4 linked regions of the Yarrowia lipolytica genome follow. Each later gene encodes a partner of the first gene's protein in a complex. Links are inferred from orthologs where the notes say so. Each region holds a gene or a part of one and is shown in the gene's direction. Other genes may lie near its edges. The genes, in order: YALI1_E31248g, YALI1_A05473g, YALI1_D31568g and YALI1_C26580g.

Region 1 (7,776 bases):
TTCTGGAGGCCAACAGCATACTCTTATACTGACCTCGTCAAGACAGACTCCTCACACAGAGTTCCAAATAGCCTTCCACAAGACATCTAAAGCGAGAACCGGTCAAAAGTCAATAGTACAAGTAACCACAGGTAATGGTGACTCAGAGAGGGGCAGATATATAGAAGGGAAGATTGAGAGGCATGTTTGTATTTTTTGAGGCCATTAGACGTACAGAATCATTCAGGGAGTTGATATCAGACTTGGGGATATCGGGAATAAGACGTTGACTCCATATCTACACACTTCAACCATCCATTGACGTATCCAACATCGTACAGAGTTGGAGCTAGTCAATCTTATCGGGCCAGACAAGGGTTACGACAGAAACTCGTTAGTGGCTTTTCCACAGTGGGAATCTCTATGCGCAGACTGAGATAGTCTTCGGATGTGTAAAGATATACACACTGGCTGCTTCCGCGGAGTATAAGTGAGATATGCGGCTTCCCTTAACTATGGTAATCATGGCCAACTATTCTCAACTAAATGTAAATTATTCAACTAAACCCAAGTAATGTAACGTACATATGAACTGTTATACGGCCATAAAACAACCCAATTCCACATCACCACTCGAATCTCCTCTGACAAGGCATCTAATCCCCGCCCACTCCTCAGAACTCCTCCATCTTACGTGCTGTCCCAAAATTTCACCCTATAGCTCATACATTTCACCCACACCGCATCCAAATGCCTAAACAGGAAGGCTTATCGTGGCTAATCACATGTTTGCAAAAAGCATGCAGAGTTGGGCTGAGAAAAAACACTTCACACTTCATCGTGCGGGCTTACCCAATCGGGAAATTGCATCCGTAAAACTTCTAGAGAATGAATATCACCGAAAAATGCTGGAAAAATAGGGTAAAATTAAAGATTAGGAGAGGTGTAAGAACAGGATATGACTGTTTTTTAAGGTACAAGTAGACGCAAATGTTTGAGTGGGAAAATATTGCCGTCTCAGCTTTGTAATCTTGGCCGTAGCAACTTTTGGCGGTTTAATTATGCTTACCGTTAGTTGTCACAGGTTAAGAGTTAGTCTATTAACTAGATATTTAACTATTCAAAATGAGTAAAATCAACTCCACGAATTTAAAGTCGCGTCCCATTTTTCCCCCTCATATCTCTAGTAATCTCAGACTGCATCATAGAGCCATTAATTATCCCAATTGGGACAGGCGCAACGCGAAACTTTGAGCTGTGTACTAGAAGCGTGTCATAGAGTGAGGGGGGGTTTACAAGACGAAACAAGGCGTTTGAGGGTGACAATATATGGCCATTCGACCTCGAAAACATGCGGAAATTCTTATGTGTACATTTTTCCATTCTAGAACAACTTCAAATTATATATATATATACATGAGGAAATGCAGAAACTTCAGTGTGCTTACATTACCTTGAACTTGTACTTTTGTATTACAGTTTTGGTTGGTGTTTTCTCCAGACCACGCAAACAACCCCTTCATTCTGGTAGTTGAGATCACTTTTTGAGCATTTTAAAGATTTGAATGGTTATTTAAGTGTCAAAATATCCACTTTCAAGCTCCATCTTTATCTCAAATCTCCTCCATTGCTGTGTGAAAAGCACGGTAGAAAAACACCCCTTGGTTGAATAAGGTTGGGTGTACAGCTACACCAATATTTTTACGCGTCTGAATATTGACCCACTATAACTACATCTCAACACCACACTACATAACACCCATGGGTCGACCTTTTAACGGAAACAACACCCATGTGGTGAAACAGCGCAGTGACGAGTTTGAGCGGCGAAGGCTGGAGCGGATCGAGCAGCTGGGTCAAAAGTTTGCCGCAGTCGAACGCCGAGATGCCATAGACGACCGAATGGGTTTTACTCGCTTCTCTGGCGATGAAAAACGAGTCGGGTGGCTGGTCAACATGCACGAGACGTTGCTACAGTCGGAAACGGCCGAGCGGGGCCTGGCAGCGGTGGACTACTACTTCTACGACGAGGAGGGAGGCAACTTCAAGTCGACGGTGGTGTTCCGGCCCTACTTTTTTGTCATTTGCAAGCCTCATACTGAGCATGCGGTGAAGGATCTCATGGAAAAGATGTTTGAGCGGGTGCTCGCAAGCACGGAAATTGTTACAAAGGAAGATTTGAACTTGGTGAGTGATAACAAGCAGCCCTGGATGAGTTGAGTGGCAGACATTGCAATGAGTGGGAGAGATAACGAACTCTCAGCATCTCGCTGATTGCAGTGAGTCCATTACTGCTGAGTGATTCTTACTGCTGTGATTCTTACTGCTGTAATTCTTGCTATTAAGCCGTGTGTGACAATTGGCTAACACAGACAAACCATCTCACAGGAAAGAAACGAAAGGCGGTGAAATTGGAATTTCACAACTCGGAGGATCTGAGCTCGACACGTTTCACGCTCAGCAAGATTGTCGACCGACAGACACAGCAGACAGAGCAGCATCTCAACATTTATGAGCTTGAAGGGTGAGTAAGAGAAAGAGGGGAGAGGCAAGAGAAAGACTGTGTTGAAGTCACGTGGTCAGTCTTCAAACAAGATGTTCAATATTAACCCAGCGATGTGGACACCAGCACAGACGTAGAATCATCCATCACTGGCATCAAGGAATTTGATGTGCCGTTTGAAACCCGAGTGGCCATTGATCTGGACATTCGTGTGGGAAACTGGTACGAGGTCACCAAGGAAAACGACACGGCTGTGCTCAAACACATGGTTGAACGAGAGTACCGAGCCGATCCAGTCGTCATGGCATACGACATTGAGACCGAAAAGGCTCCCCTTCGTTTCCCCGACTCAGCCGTCGACAGAATCATGATGATTTCGTACATGATTGACGGCGAGGGTTTCCTCATCACCAACCGAGAAATGGTGAGTGAAGACATTGAGGACTTTGAGTACACTCCCAAGCCCGAATTCCCCGGTAATTTCACCATTTTCAACGAGCCTAACGAGAAGGCTGTGTTGGAAAAGTGGTTTGAGCACATTCGAGACGTGTGTCCCACGGTGATGACTTCCTACAACGGAGACTTTTTCGACTTCCCATTCATCGACAAACGAACAGCCTTCCATGGAATGAATCTCTACGACGAGATTGGATGGAAAAAGGTGGAGGAAGAGAGATACGAGTGTTCCTATTGTGTGCATATGGACTGTCTCAACTGGGTCAAGCGAGACTCGTACTTGCCTCAGGGTTCTCAGGGTCTCAAGGCTGTGACAAAGGTGAAGCTGAGTTACGATCCCAAGGAGCTCGATCCGGAAAAGATGACTCCTTATGCACGAGACCATCCTCAGATTCTCGCGGAATATTCTGTTTCCGATGCTGTGGCCACCTATTATCTCTACATGAAGTATGTGCATCCGTTCATCTTCTCTCTGTGTTGCATTATTCCCCTCAACCCCGATGCAGTGCTACGAAAAGGTACAGGTACTCTTTGCGAGATGCTCCTCATGGTCAAGGCTTATGAGGGACGCATCATTCTTCCCGACAAGCACAAACCTGCTCTTGAGCGTCATTACAAGGGTCATCTGGTCGATAACGAGACGTACACCGGTGGCCACGTGGAGTCCTTGGCTGCTGGCGTGTTTCGAAGCGACATCATGGTCGATTTCGACATTGATACTAACAGTATCGACGAGCTACTGGTCAATTTAGACGAGACTCTCGAGTTTTGCGTCACTGTTGAGGCTGGAAAGAAATCGTCTGATTTTGAGAACTTGGATGAAGTAAGAGACCAGATCATCGAACAGCTTCAGGAGCTCAAATCCAACCCCAAGCGATCCGATTACCCGCTCATTTACCACGTGGATGTCGCGTCTATGTACCCCAACATCATGACGACCAACCGACTTCAGCCCGACTCCATGGTAGACGAAAAGGACTGTGCTGTTTGTGACTACAACCGTCCCGACAAGACGTGCGCACGTGAACTAGAGTGGGCTCGACGAGTCGACTATTACCCTGTGTCAAAGGGAGATGTCAACAACCTAAAGCAGGGTCTGGTTGAGGAGTACTCCGGAGGTCGTTTCGGAAACGGCTCATCTGTCGAGATCTCGTACGATGAAGGTATGACTGAGCGGGAAAAGTTCCAGAAACGAAAGGGCTGGGCTGGATTGTCTGGTCAGGAGCAGGCTAACAAGCTCAAGGAGCGAGTGGCGGCCTTTTCGCTCAAGACCAAGGCTCGAAAGACGGACTCGGAGACGACTGTGCAAAAGACCATTGTTTGCCAGCGAGAAAACCCCTTCTATGTCGATGTTGTGCAAGAGTTCAAACAGCGTCGAATCGACTACAAGACAAAGGCGAAAAGGTGGAACAAGGAGGCTGCTTCTGCTTCCGATCCTGCGTCTCGAGAGGAGGCCAAGAAGATGGCTATCACCAACGACTCGATGCAGCTGGCCCACAAAGTCATTCTCAACTCCTTCTACGGTTATGTTATGCGAAAGGGTTCTCGATGGTACTCCATGGAGATGGCCGGTGTGACTTGTTACACTGGAGCCAAGATCATCAAGATTGCCCGTCAGACAATGGAAGGTCTTGGTATTCCTCTTGAGCTCGATACAGACGGTATTTGGTGTATGCTGCCCAAGACCTTCCCCGAGAAGTTCAAGTGCAAGTTTAAGGATGGTTCCAGCTACGAGCTTGAGTATCCCTGTTCTATCATGAACTACTTGGTGCACAGAGACTTTACCAACCACCAGTACCAGAAGCTGAATCCCGAGACTGGGAAGTACGACACTCATTCAGAAAACTCCATCTTCTTCGAGCTCGACGGACCCTACAAGTGCATGATGATGCCTACGTCGACTGATAAGGGTAAGGGTCTCAAAAAGCGGTACGTGGTTTTTGACGACCGCAATAAGATTGTCGAGCTTAAGGGCTTCGAGGTCAAGCGACGAGGAGAGCTGTCGTTGATCAAAAAGTTTCAGTCACAGCTGTGGGACACGTTTCTGGAGGGCTCCAATCTCGTCGAGTGTTATGCTGCTCAGGCTCGAGTGGCTGAAGCTTGGCTGGCAGTGATTGACTCTCGCGGCAAGAACCTATCCGACGAAGAGCTCATTGACCTGGTTTGTGAGAACAAGTCCATGTCCAAGCCTGTGCATGAGTACGGCTCTCAGAAGAGTACTGCTCTGACGACTGCCCGTCGTCTAGCGGAGATTATGGGCGACTCCATTCTCACGGGAGGCAAGCTGTCAACCAAGTACATCATTGCGGTTCGAACCAAGAACTCCATGCCTGTTCCTGAGGCTAAGAAGGGTTCCGACGAGGACTCTTCAACTGCTGATCGAGCTATTCCCACTCTGGTTTTCGAAACCGAATCTCTGGACGAAAAGCTGCGGTTCTTGAAACGGTGGATGGGCCCTCGATGGGAATCCACGGACCCCCGAGACGTCATTGACTGGATGTACTATCGAGAACGTCTGGCGACGACTATCAACAAGCTTGTGGTGATTCCTGCCATTCTGTTGGGTCTCAAGAACCCCGTTCGAGGCTGTGATCCCCCCGAATGGGCTTCTGACATCATCAAGCAACGAGATAACCCCATCAAGCAGAGCACCCTGAGCTCTTATTTTGTCAAGGGTAAACTTCCCACTCCTGAGCCCATTCTCAGTGAAGAAGATGAGGTCATGGAGATCCAGGTGGGCGACATTGAAAGCATCGGGACCACTCCTTCTCCTTCCAGACCCCCTGGAGTGCCTGCCCGAGTGGTTGTGTCTAAACGAGTGCGCAAAACTGTTGAGGAAACGGACAAGTCCACTCCCTCTCTTCCTCACAAGGCCCCCGATCCGTTCGCCGACTATGCAGCCTACATTAAGTACGCCAAGGTCAAGTGGAAGCATCAGAAGGCTCAGCGAGACCGAAGAGCCCATCTTTTTGGCGAGTCCGACAATGGCATCGCTTCTTCGTGGGTGTCCAAGAACGCCCACCTGGCTCAAGACGCCTGGCACCTGGTGTCCATCCATGCTGCCGAAAAACCTGGCCAGGTGGAGGCCAGCGTCATCATCGGAGACAAGATGCAACGGGTGCAGATCAATGTGCCGCGCAAGGTGTACGTGGGGTCTCGTGAGCCGCTGAAGTGGGATAAGTTCACTGACGTGACCAATGCCATGGCTGTGGCTGAAGAGGAGCAACCCAAGTACCTCTACCGAGCAGTCATGTCTGAAGACATGTACCAGACGGAGATGACTAACCCGGAGTCTCCGCTGAAGGACCCTCACGTGACGAAAATCTACGAGGCCGACGTGTCGCCTGATTCACGTGCCCTCATTGAGCTTGGATCCACATTCCATCTTGATGCCTCCACTCCTGGTATCCTCTCCAAGGGCTTCACCCATGGCTTTGAGGCCAAATGGTTCAAGTCAGGTGACTCGCGGTCCTACCTGCAAAACTCAGGACTCTCCTACGCTCACATTGTGCACGTGGTTTCTTCTGCCGTGGAGATATTTGTCATCACACCCACCTGGGACGCACCAGCTCTTGTGTTTGTGCACCAGTCGTCTTCCAGTGAAAAGTTACCTGACATCTCGAAGGAGTACGCCCGTCTGCGACGTGGAGAACGGTACAAGCAGAACATGGACGATTGCACCGTCTTTTCCTTCCCCGACACAATGCAGTACGAGGTGGAGTACTGTTCCAACCACCGACGAATGCTGCAGAAGGTGTCCAAGGCGTGTGACTCACTGTCTGGCTCCCGAAACGGCCAGCTGGTGTTTGCACTCCATTCTCCGGACAGAAACGTGGATGAAAAGGTGGCTGCCCTGGCCAGAATCCCCTGTATTCGGCTGAGACCCGTTCCTCCGTCTACTGCTGCTGTTGGATGGCAACGGGATCTGGTTCGACGGCTGATTGCATCGTTCTTGTCACATGGAGCCAACATTTCGTACCTTGTCGAGATGGCTCGGTATGCCAAGATGCCTCTGTGTCATGTGCAAGATACCCGGGACGTGATTGACGTATCATACGCTCGTCGGCTCATCCAGAACAGTGTCGTTTTGTGGTGGTCTGCTGCTCTGTCTACCGGAGGAGCCCTCACTGACCAGGCGGAAGTGCCTGTCGCCAACAATCCTGGACTGTACACCAACATTTGTTTCGAGATCAAAATCGAGCATTTGGTGCTCAACGCCTTGTTGCAGAGTGCTGTGATCCAGGATACTGAGGGAGACATTCACAACGAGCTTCTCTCCAACGCCTTCAACCCCCACGCCCTCAAAACCCTCAAAATGGTGGTCAAGGAGTGGTGGGAGCACGGGGACAAGAAACGGCCTCCCCAGGATCTGCTGGACAACTTCACAGTGTGGGTTTATGCGCCTGAGTCGCGTCTTTTCTCCCCCCAGTTGCTGTACCACACTCAGAACCTGACGAAGAAGACCTTCCTGTATCTTGCTCAAGAGTGTCGAAAGCACCAGGCTCAGTTGGTGTACGCTGATCAACACAAGCTTGTGTTGCAGACAGAGAAGACGGAGCTTCAGCTGGTGTACTCGTACTCCAACTACATTGTTCGGCAGATCAGAACCCATCCCATTCTCAAGTATGTCTCTGTCGACATTACTCGCTACTGGGACACCTTCCTGTGGATGGACAAGTGGAACTACGGGGGCTACTCGTCTGACGTCATTGTTGACCCCTCCAAGCAGAGCGAGTCTCTGTTGATGCATTGGCACATTGCCAACTTCTTGCCTGAGACTCTACAGCAGGAATTTTCCAAGTGGGTCCAGGAGTACATTCATTTGTTGCGGCTGCGGA
Region 2 (2,700 bases), on another chromosome or scaffold:
ATCTGGAGCGGGTAGGACGGGGAATATAACTGAAATTAAATACCCAATAATAGGGAAAACGTCGGGGAAAAAAAAAAGAATAAATCATTGAAACGATGGTAAACACAATGAAATACATTGTTAAGTTTCTACACATCTTTTTCGTCATCTTATATGCATTTCTTGAAAACACCAACTTAAGCCTATTGTTCTCGAGAGCGGGAATAGAAGGAAGCCGCAGAAAGCCGAATCCACACATATTTCCGGTAAATCAAAAGAGCAAGCTACAGAAACGTGCTTATTAAGCAGAAATGAAGACGACACATGGCACAAACACCGGCTCCTCGGCCACACTTCACCCGTTACTTGCTATTTGAACACCTTGTCTGATTGGTCATCAAGGGCCACTATCCGTTAACGTGTGGCTTGTCACCAGACTTGCACACTTTGAGGCTATTTTATTTGCTTAAATTGTGAGGAAGGCAAAAAAAAAAAAGAACAAATGAAAACACGAAATCCAGCCTGTGCCGTGCCATGCAATACAAGTAGCAAATAATATGACAAGGGGGACTTGTCTGGAGAGGTTGTTTGGAGGGTGTGGTAGAGGAATTGAGGGTCAATTGGCTTGAATTGATCAACACGTCTTCATGGTATTTGAACTTGAATTCTTTTACAACTACAATATTATACAATACGAGTTGGAGTAAAAACTCGTTTAAAATACAGTGTATATATTCATCCGACTAAATTTCGGATAAACAGGACTACTCAAAATAAGATTTCGGATCCCCCAACAATGCGGTTCAATTTGAGGAGTGGGTGAGGGGGATGTGTTTCAGAGGGCTTAGACTGGGAGCGGATGACACTAGAGTTGAAAAATTGGTCTGTTTCGTGCATTTTTGGGCAAGTTATAGAGATTGTAGTGGAGTGTACTTGTTCAACTATGTACGATAATTAGAAGGTTTTTGAATTTTTGATGGACAATACGAACACTTACGCTGGGTGTTACGTAAGGCTTTTTCAGCAACCAATGGAAAGGGAAAAGGGAGGTGTCCAAGGGAGGTGTCCAGAAATGAGCGTCGTGGGGTATTTGGCAAGTAGTATGAAGAGGTCGGCGATCGTGGTCAGGAGTGGTGCACTTTTTTTTAATCAGTTGATTCGTTTAACAGAATCTAGTGATTATATGATGACTTTTTTGAATGTTTTCGGAAAATCAGAAGAAATCATATCAAGTCACAGAGAAGAAATCAGATCGAGTCACAAAAACACAATCACTGAGTCAAGTATGTACATACGAGTAGATATCTGTGTTTCATCAATGTAGTTTTCGAATCGAAAATATAACATTCAAAGTAGATGTTGATTCAAGTATCGTAAAGTACGTACATACTGTGTATCGGTAGTTGCCTTCACTTCTGGACAAGGGTACAAGTACAATGTGTTATGTAGTGCGGCATTCGTACTCGCACTCGTATCGTACATTGTTCCTGTATTCCTACTGGATACATCATATAACCCGTTTTAATACCGCTTATTTTGTCTCGTGCCAAGGACATCTTTTTTCCCCCATTATTCCCCAATTCCCACAACAATCCTGAAAAAACAAATAAACTCGCCAAAAACAGGCCAATTTAAATTACGTGACGCAACACGATACAGCTGATGCGCCAACATCTCTGTTCGTCCATCAACCACACCTCACACCGTCACTTCCACAATGCCGCCCAAAGGACACAAAAAAACCGCCGACGGCGACTTCCGACCCGTCAACTCGGCCGGTAACACGATACAGGCCAAGCAAAAGTACTCGATCGACGATCTCCTGTACCCCAAATCAACCATCAAGAATCTGGCCAAGGAGACACTGCCAGATGACGCCATCATTTCCAAGGACGCGTTGACGGCCATCCAGCGAGCTGCCACGCTGTTTGTGTCGTACATGGCGAGCCACGGAAACGCGTCGGCCGAGGCTGGAGGCCGAAAGAAGATAACGCCCCAGGACGTTTTCGTGGCCCTTAAGGACGTTGATCTGGCTCAGTTTGTGCCCAGTGTGACCCAGAGTGTCAACGAGTTCGAACAGGAAGTTGCACAAAGGAAGAAGGACAAGGTTGTACGCGCCCAGGACGACCAGGACCATATTTCCAGCTCAGAGTCGGAAACCGAGGCGACAGAGGAAGAGGGCAACAAAAGAATTAGAACTGATGAGTAGAAGACGAGAAGGACAACGTGGCAACAGGACATTTAGATGCCATACTGAAAGATGCGAACATACTCAACACGCAGCTACGTGTGGTCAAGGTCACAAGCAGAAAGCCCTGATTGCAGTCAAAACACACTCTCCACCTGGCGCAAAAGCACAACCGACACATACGTTATCGCACGATAATAACCACTTACATACATGCCGCAACGGCATCAATACATGCACATTTATTTGATACACAGCAAGCCTACTGCCGTGCACTTGGGGCGGGGGTGTCTTAGATGCCCCGTTGTCATTGCCAGAACCCACGATGTAAAAGATCTGGACAGTTGCCCATATTGAATAATGAGCATGTCTTGATTCGCGTCGTACAGCACGACCAGACTATATGTTCTGGTCTCTTTCCGGTGACTCGAGCCTGTTTGTCATCCCAAGAGCGAGCTGACGAGTTCCACCAAATAAGGCAGCTTGTACTTAATGGTAATGGTCAGATCGACAGCTCAAGGCCTTTTGGTAAT
Region 3 (4,947 bases), on another chromosome or scaffold:
CACAAGGCCAAATTAGTCACTGCGCATTCCATGTAGTCAATACCACACAGTCCATGTAGTAATTACGCAGTCTCCGCCCAGTACACGTAGCACGTAGACGGCATTCCAATCAGCAGCAAAAGAAGAGAGTTTCCGGAGTCCACCTAACGCGCTGCGCCCTCACATTCCTTTTGTGTCACTGACAACACTTACCGAGCTGTCATAAAGTGGAGTGTAAGAAGAGAAGAAAAAAAAAAACAAATCAACTTTATAGTGGTTGTACAGTGCAATTCGACCAGTCAGATCTTATACTACAGTGTACCAGACCCTGGTATTGAATACTGTACCTGTTCGCACCCCTGAGACACTCAGTGAAACCTTGGTAGGTTCACGAGAGCACCAGAAGTTATTTCTGGGGTGGTATGTTTCTCACCAGTGCGTTTTTAAACCCGTTCCGTCACAACACCATAGAACCAAGAGATATAGATTATTTAGTGGTACCGTTGGAATGTGGAGATGATAGCGAGTAAAATGATATATTTAACGGCCATAAACAGGTTTATGTGAAATTGATAAGTCTGTCTGACGTGAAAATGTATAAAACTGACAGACTTTTCAGTCAGTCAGTTGCGTCAAGTCTGTCAATTCCAGACGATTTTGTTTGAATTATTTTGAATGGACAATTTCCACTCACGTTATATTCATTACGTGAAAAAAAAAAAAAAAAAAAAAAAAAAGCTCAATTCCACATCACAGAACGTCCTGGAGTCAGTGTTTTTTTTTCTTCTTTTATTTTTCCCTATAAACTGTCAAGTAACTGAATTAGAACAGTTAACGATGTTGAGCTTTTGATGAGAAATCTCCTCGTCTCTCTGTTTAAAAACATCCATAAAATACCGAATATCGATATTTACAAGAACCGCTGTATTATCTGGACCTCAACTTACCGATCGATACTATCAAAAATTGCTTTCTATACTCAAACACCCACCGTGTTTGGCTGCTGTCTCCAGTCTGTCAGTTGATGGGATTGCCAAGTGAATAGTTAAGAATTGTTAAATCAAAAAACCGGCTTGAGGTCGCATTTCCATGTTCCATAAATTGAATAGAATATATTTCGATACATGAAGATACAGAATAAATGAGTTTCTAACTGATCCTAAATTGTGGTTATTTTGGCATCAACAGAATTTCATTCTGGAGATGGTCATAAAATTGCAAGCAGGTATTTTTGTTGAGACCTTTGTTAGAATATTAACAGCACCTAAACAAGAACATCTGTTTGTGTTTTTTTTTGTTCTGGAAAAATAAATAATTAATAAATTAATAAAAAATAAAAAATAAAATAAAAAATAAAAATACAATATAAATAAGTAAAATGCATCCAAGGACGTTTCAAGCGTTTTGGGGGTGATTTGGTGAGTGAATAACACGAGCATACTTAATCGTTGCTGTTCAGTGGATGTTAATTAATTTTTTATTATATTGAATTCTTTAAAATAAATTTATAACCACTATTGTAACATATTGTGGTAACACTGTAAGTATTTGTATTTTGTATCCACTGATCCACGAACCCCAACCCAACCAACCCTAACATCAACCTAAAACGCGCTTCTACGTTAATTGAAATTTCGCGTTTCAAATTACAACCACTGATACACCTCTACAGGACGCTTTTACAGGACGCCTCTACACCTTCAAAACCGCTGCTGCACCGCCACAAAACACTCACGTGACACGTGACAACCCAACCGAGCGCCCAAAACACATTTTTACGCACTTTTTAAGCACTTTTCGACACTTCGACACACCTTTGAACACCATGTCTCTAGACTGGGGAGGAGGATTGTTTGGGTCCGGGAGCGCACTGGACGAGCTGCAGCGCGTTGGAACGCGGTCACGTGAACTTCCACGTGACGAGTCCGATATGGAGCTTTCCGAAGGTTCTGATCTATCCATGTCTGCCGAAGAGGATGAGGGGGAGGGGGAGCGGGGAGGTGAGGAGGTAGAACCGACCAGCGATCCCATGACCAACCACGTGACCCAGATGTGCGACCTGGATAATCACATGACGCGCTTCCCGTCGCCGGCGGCGGAGGAAGATGACTTCATTGCGGAAATGTTGAGAGCCAACGAACCCAAAGACTTGCCAGCTTCTGCCGCCTCCGCCGCTCCGTCACGTGATATGCCACGTGACCGCACTTCGCCCACCCGATACATCACGCTCTACTCCGGAATGACCCTTTCGCGAGCGAAAAAGTACATCAAAACGACCCGGCTCCGAACAATGCAACAGGAGGAGGAATCGCTGAAGAACCACTACGGAATCGATGTGAGCGGCATCAGACAGAAGCTGGTGGGCCAAAAATTCGACAGCAGCGAAACTTGCAATACGCCAAATCCTACCGCTGGAGATACCGGAAATACCCGCCCGAAAACGGCATCTTGCGATACGTCCAAAATTCCGGCAGACGCATTCAGCGATTCGAGACATCGTGCGGGTCTGCTCGTGTCTGGAATTGGGTCACGGGACGGCCACCTCTGGGTGGAAAAACTGCGGCCGCAAAAGCTGCTGGATCTGAACGGCCATTCCGACCGCCACAAGGACATTTTGTACTGGCTGAGTGAATGGAACTCCTTCATTTTCCAGACTCCGTCGCAGGCGGTGCAATTCAAAGCCAAGCAGCGGGAAAAATGGCTTAAAAAAAGCGGACGAATCGAAGATGCTGTCCACGCAGGATCACGTGGGGTCTACGAGGAGCGCGAGGCACGTGACCGCCCCCAGAAGCGGATCCTGCTTGTGCACGGCGAGCCCGGAACCGGAAAAACCACCGCCTGTGGGGTTTTGGCCCGGAATTTGGGGTTCAACACGCTGGAGATGAACGCGTCTGACGACCGTGGCAGCGAAGCGTTCCGACGGGGCGTTTTGGGTCCCATGAGAACCCACTCCGTCACTTCCAAAGACCGTCCTAACTGCGTGATTCTCGACGAGATTGACGGAGCGGACCCAATCTTCATCGACAAGTTGGTCAAGCTCGTGCAGCGCGACGAAAAGGAGGAGTTATGGCATGAGCGGAAAAACAGACATAAAAAGACCAGCGCCAAAGACAAACTCAACACCCTCATCAGCCGACCCATCATCTGCATCGCAAACAACCTCCACGGGTTGCTGTACAAACTCCGGCCGCATTGTCGAATCGTCAACTACGGCCGACTGTCGCCAGCTCAATCGCTGCGAATCGTGCAAAACGTGTTTCGAACGGAGATGAAGCTGCAAAAACTCACCTCCAAACAAAACAGATTCCTGGCAGACATCTGCAACTCCACCGACGGAGACATTCGACAAGCCATCAACATTCTGCAGTTTGGAACCCCCGAGGCCGACACGGCCAATCTGGTGGACAAGTCGGCGCTGTGGAACAACATTGTCAGTTCACTCTTCAGTCACGTGCCCGTGGGCAAAGACCGGGCTAACCACGTGGAAAACTTGTGCCAGAGATCGCTGCGATGCGGAGAATGGAATAAACTTGTGTTTGGAGCCTTCTCAGCCTACATCACGTGCCTTTCGGGAGCAGGCAACCTCACCCAACTCACCAACATTGCCAAACTCGATGACTGGTACCACCTGTACGACCTCGCCAACACGCTGGGGTCCCGCGACAGTTACCACCCGTATACGCTCGCGGCCTTCTCGCTGATGTTTGGATCCACCACCAAAAACCACGTGACCAACGTCGAAACCGACTACTCCCTCACCAACCAGACTCAGACCCAAAAGCTGCGTCTCAACGACATCTACAGCAACATTCCCGTCGAACTAAGGCGGTATCTCAACAAAGAAACGCTGCTAGATGATCTGGGAATGTTCCTGGACACTATGACCCGACAACAGAGAGGAGTCACCCCGGAACAAATGGCGTCTCTCGCAGAATCTCTCACCTCCCTGGGAGTGTCCCTCAAGAAGGAGAACGTGTACAATGAAATCTCCTCCAAGAGGGAAGACGTGTACGTGTTTGTGCCGCCGGTGTGCGACCTGTCACGTGCCCCGGATGGCCAGCCCCGGGACACAAACTCCGTGTTCCTCGAGTCCCTTTACAAGATCCTCACCCCGGACCCGACCCTCAAGCGGCCAGGCGAATTTTCCCAGGTGCAACCCAACAAGAGACACGTGGCGGCACATGATCTGGCACGAGACCCGGATCCGAGGACGCGCGGCGGGCCCCCGCCATCTTCGTCAACGGCAAAAAAGCCATCCAAGTCGTCCACCCTGCTGGACTTCTTTATCAAGGAAACGGTCGAGATCACGCCGTCGCAGGTGGTCCGCAACGAGGCCAAGGAGCAACAAGACACGCTGAACACGTGGGTGTCGTACTTTGAGGGCTACTCCAACGCTGTCCGGCGGGACCTCACCTGGGAGCAGTTGTGGATGGAGTAAGATACAATGAATACAAATGTATACAGTGTACATGGTCGCGTAGCAAGGCCAAGTAGGACAAACTTCTGTTGTGGACAGCCACGGCTTTGCTTGGCAGGAATGACTGCGATCGAGTTTTGGAATGTGGTGACTTTAGGACTGATTGGGGCATGGTCACACTGTCCGAGCCAGAAGTAGAACTACACACGCCCTCAATGCGAACTGATGACAGTCTTTGTTGCGCCCCATGGAGTTCTTAATGCCAAATGCTCGGCCTGAGAGGAGAACAAAGTCTGGGCCATATGGGGTCGGAAGATCTCAACAGGGTGACTCTAGAATTATGGTCAGAGGTTCAGAGTAGACAACAATCGACTCAGAAATGTACATGCACCCTGGGAGACCTGTCTGCGGGGGCAATGCCGCTTGGATTCGAGCCAGGTGAGCCAGGAAGTTTCATGACAGCTTTCACGGGTGGAAACCATGTGCGGAACGGTGAGTGGCGTGCCAGTTGGTTTCAGGTCACCATGCTGTGTCAATAAGAGGGGATTATG
Region 4 (3,350 bases), on another chromosome or scaffold:
ATATAAGCACTTGTGCACTGCTGTACTGTCTTTTTGATAGCCCAGTTCGGTATCCAGTGTTTTACAGCCCACTGTCTTAAATTCTCTTTGAGGCTGAACGTATATGCACAGTGAATATCTATATTATTATCTCCTCTTCTTCCCCATTGTCATAGCCATGATACTCCGGTTACCACACGATATTCTGGTGGTAATCTGCGAACTTGTTTCACCAAGAGATCTTTGTGCTCTTCGTGAAACTTGTCAGCAACTCAGCCGCGATATTCCCGGGTCTTTCATCCTCGGATGTCTTCTCTCTGTGTGGGATTGCTGCAATATTGAGTACAGCAGATCGAACGACGATACTTGCCAGGCTCCGCACAAGCTGAACAATTCGCGGGTAGAGTTCTCAGATCAGGTCAAGTGCCCTGTCTACATTGATCAGCCGCTTCCACGCGACTTTTACTGTCTCTGCAAAGAGGTGGACGAGATCTTTCCCTGGGAGTACCACGACAACGGGATTTCTTTCGACGAGAAACTCTTGGATTTGACGGAGCATCCCGAAATGGGCCAAGGGAAGCCCAAGAAAGGACTCACGATGGGACGTTACTACGGAAGCACATATGCGTTTGGAGGAGCACCTGTGATCCAGACAAGACATTCTTCAAAGATGTTGGCTGGTGTGAGTGTTATAAATCTGATCTACTCTGGTATTCCCCAGACGAGAGGAATTGTCAACTTGGATGGACTTTCTCTGCCTTTCAGACTGCAGGTCAACGGAAAAAGTGTTCTTTTGCACGCTCGAGCCTGCGATTATAAGACCTCTGAAGTGATTTGTGTGTCCCCAGGTGGAAAAGTACATACTCAGAGGTGTCGACCCCGGAAAGCTGCTCCTGCTGGTATCGTTCACTACAACGACACCTTCTTCAACATTGATTTTCAAACCCGATACCGACTCCGGGTGTGCAAGTCTCTACATAGCTTGGACTCCGATCCACAACTAAATGAGCCGTACAAGGTGTATCAGGATGAAGAATATTCACAGTTCTGCCTCGTTTACAAGCCCACAGGAATTATAATAGGGCTAATTGACTTGGACAACCAGCAGACAGAAGTCTTTTCCGCACCAGGAACTGGATTTGTGGCCAGAAACTACAGCTCGATATCGTGTGAAGAATACCTCGTCATGGTTGGAATGTCCAAGGGCTCTCTTGGGATCTGGAAGTTTTCCATTAACCATCTCCGCAAGAGGTTCAGATTTCAACATGGAGATGGATTCGCTAACGCTTTGTCGCTAGCAGTCTCTCCCCTTGCCTCCAAGCCGAGATGACAGTGGTCTGATACTTCTTGAAATGTTGCTACAGTATGTAACTAATCGACACCATCCCGAGGCGGATAGTGGTCTTCAAAGGTGGGACTGGGTAGATATCACATGATCGGAGCTGGTTATCGGTTTGTGGAGGGGTATCCGAGTATGGATACAGAGAGAGGTACAATCGTCTATACAGAACAAGTACAATCATCTATACATACATGTGCTGTATATGTATTGTCGATCCCACTTATCTCACTCGAGCCAACGCAATGGGCTTATTGTCTTGATCGCTAAAGAATATTTGGTATACCATCTGGCTATATTGGATATTACTCGATTTTTGTTCCCATGTTTGAATATAAATAAATCGTCGCTATCCATTTTATCCGATTTTACTGTCTCTTTTACACTGTCCAGCTCCCTCCATCCACCTTTCTCATGCACGACGCGTCTAAATTAATTGAAACGTGTGCATCTCTTCAACACCACCATCATGAAGCTCAATTTTTACGAAGAGTACGACAAGCGACACATTTATCGGCTGATCGAGCTGCCCGAGCAGATTATCGGCGAGCTACGGGAGGAAGAGGAGGAGTACAAAAAAACCAAGGAACTGCAACATTACTCACTGACTCTGAGAGGCAAGGATCGGCTCGTTCTGTGCAACAAAAACACGACGTGGAACGTCAAGCAACGGAGCCAAAGCAACACCCTTCATCTGGTGGAGACACGTGACGATGGTCTCGCCAGCATTTGCATCACCCAGCCCATTTTGGAGTGCACTTTGAGTGAATCGCCTCAGTTGGACACCTCTGATCTGCCCTGTTACGACGGAGACAGTATCATGGGAGACCCGCGCATCGCCAAGCACGATCTGGACTCGTTAAGGAACCGCAGCAGCATGTCTGGAGTGCAATTCGACCAGGTTTGGGCGCAAATTGGAGGAGTGGAAGTCGATGGAGTGGCATGTGTGCTGGCTGATAGTCTGATCAAGGAGACAATAGACGATATTCTGACCTCGCTAGCATCACAGAAGCAGCAGCTTAACCTGGTGAGTGCATCTGACGTGGTGTCTGATACTTCTCCAGCAGTAGTTACGGCAGTGTTGAAGATGTTTGCTACAACGCCCATTGAGCCCTACAATCTCGATCTCGCGCACATCATCAGCTGGATTGGCAAAAACGCCCTTGGCGAGCCGGTGCAGATCGAACAGTTTATGATCATGTGGAAAAACTCGATTCCCATGATCTTTGACGAGGATATGGTCTCCCTGGACCTCATCAAAGGCTCCTATGCTCTTTGTGAGACTATGATTCACAAGCTCAGCGAAAGTGATTTGCCGCGTGACCCCAAGGAGCGGTTTGCTCGACTGTTCCAGATCAAGGACAAGTGGGAACTGGACGAAATCACACCGTTCATTGAACCCATCAAGATGAACAAGAGCACCAAGACGGAGAACTTTGTGCTCAAGTACGCTAAGAAGAGAAAGATCGGCGGCAAGGTGATGGTTTGTCGAGAGTGAAGAAACGACGACAAAGAACACAAAAGGAACAAACACAGTGGGATTATATTGAATTGCAAGTACAGATGTCAATAAGTAACCCCAGTCTGAGAACCCTGTAATTGAGAACTCTGGGACTGGGTACGCTGTCGATTCGAAGGACTGGCATGCGTTGCAACTTTTGCTTCATTTCTTTTTTTGCTGAAAGTCGCAGTCCGTCCCACATGATGGTATACAAACCTCTCCTGGAGGCTCTCCTCTGAATTGGGAACGATTCTAAGAAAATACAATGTGCTTCAGAGCAAACAGTTTGTAGTCATCATTGACGTTTCCGTCCATGAACGAAATGTGGGAACCTCCAGAGTGTCGCTGGTCCTTGTAAGATATGTGCAGCTTTGAAGGAGAAGGGGTCAGTCGCATGGTAGCATTAGACGGAATCTCGCCTACCAAAAGAAGTGAGCCAGTATCCTGGGACGTAGCCCGTCCTCTACGGCCAATTGTGCCGAAATCTTGAGAGAGATTTCGTCCCGATACCCTGAAAGAAACTGGATGATG

The links.
Region 2: the proteins of YALI1_E31248g (region 1) and YALI1_A05473g are in contact, whole or in part, in a cryo-EM structure (PDB 6WJV), measured with the Saccharomyces cerevisiae proteins. The link is inferred for Yarrowia lipolytica from reciprocal best matches to the Saccharomyces cerevisiae genes POL2 and DPB4. Residues at the interface, in NP_014137.1 of Saccharomyces cerevisiae: Val1270, Gly1271, Trp1272, Leu1273, Tyr1275, Lys1277, Ile1278, Trp1280, Lys1281, Ile1282, Ala1284, Arg1287, Glu1302, Met1309, Ile1310, Lys1345, Asn1348, Lys1581, Glu1582, Glu1583, Arg1584, Gly1585, Leu1586, Leu1607; in NP_010406.3 of Saccharomyces cerevisiae: Ser18, Tyr19, Ile20, Lys21, Glu22, Gln23, Glu24, Ile26, Gln29, Asp30, Arg65, Val69, Asn72, His73, Leu76, Phe77, Arg79, Glu80, Val92, Asp93, His101, Ile102, Gly103, Ala106, Pro110, Arg112, Asp113, Asp116, Gln119, Glu123.
Region 3: the proteins of YALI1_E31248g (region 1) and YALI1_D31568g are in contact, whole or in part, in a cryo-EM structure (PDB 6S2F), measured with the Saccharomyces cerevisiae proteins. The link is inferred for Yarrowia lipolytica from reciprocal best matches to the Saccharomyces cerevisiae genes POL2 and CTF18. Residues at the interface, in NP_014137.1 of Saccharomyces cerevisiae: Glu333, Asp334, Phe335, Glu336, Tyr337, Thr338, Asn450, Ile452, Gln468, Glu472, Val475, Glu1038, Asp1039, Glu1040; in NP_013795.1 of Saccharomyces cerevisiae: Lys717, Trp719, Val720, Lys721, Gly725, Phe726, Ser727, Asn728, Ala729, Val730, Arg731, Lys732, Asn733.
Region 4: the proteins of YALI1_E31248g (region 1) and YALI1_C26580g are in contact, whole or in part, in a crystal structure (PDB 5OKI), measured with the Saccharomyces cerevisiae proteins. The link is inferred for Yarrowia lipolytica from reciprocal best matches to the Saccharomyces cerevisiae genes POL2 and DCC1. Residues at the interface, in NP_014137.1 of Saccharomyces cerevisiae: Glu125, Gly126, Gly127, Val285, Phe320, Asp334, Phe346, Thr348, Phe350, Arg361, Glu364, His365, Asp368, Val369; in NP_009913.2 of Saccharomyces cerevisiae: Met356, Lys357, Ser360, Met363, Lys364, Arg367, Arg368, Lys369, Arg370, Gly372, Arg380.

Annotation. Positions count from the first base shown.
Region 1 is NC_090774.1:3,123,127-3,130,902, forward strand, and holds the start of YALI1_E31248g (uncharacterized protein), read left to right. Parts: upstream 1-1,740; coding exon 1,741-2,166; intron 2,167-2,351; coding exon 2,352-2,503; intron 2,504-2,593; coding exon 2,594-7,776. UniProt on the Saccharomyces cerevisiae protein: Catalytic component of the DNA polymerase epsilon complex which participates in chromosomal DNA replication.
Region 2 is NC_090770.1:545,686-548,385, forward strand, and holds YALI1_A05473g (uncharacterized protein), read left to right. Parts: upstream 1-1,696; coding exon 1,697-2,188; downstream 2,189-2,700. Other genes in the region: YALI1_A05459g (uncharacterized protein), read right to left, coding at 1-238. UniProt on the Saccharomyces cerevisiae protein: As accessory component of the DNA polymerase epsilon (DNA polymerase II) participates in chromosomal DNA replication.
Region 3 is NC_090773.1:3,153,643-3,158,589, reverse strand, and holds YALI1_D31568g (uncharacterized protein), read left to right. Parts: upstream 1-1,804; coding exon 1,805-4,417; downstream 4,418-4,947. UniProt on the Saccharomyces cerevisiae protein: Essential for the fidelity of chromosome transmission. Required for the DNA replication block checkpoint.
Region 4 is NC_090772.1:2,656,516-2,659,865, reverse strand, and holds YALI1_C26580g (uncharacterized protein), read left to right. Parts: upstream 1-1,787; coding exon 1,788-2,816; downstream 2,817-3,350. Other genes in the region: YALI1_C26597g (uncharacterized protein), read left to right, coding at 104-1,309; YALI1_C26566g (uncharacterized protein), read right to left, coding at 2,885-3,089, 3,139-3,215. UniProt on the Saccharomyces cerevisiae protein: Component of the RFC-like complex CTF18-RFC which is required for efficient establishment of chromosome cohesion during S-phase and may load or unload POL30/PCNA.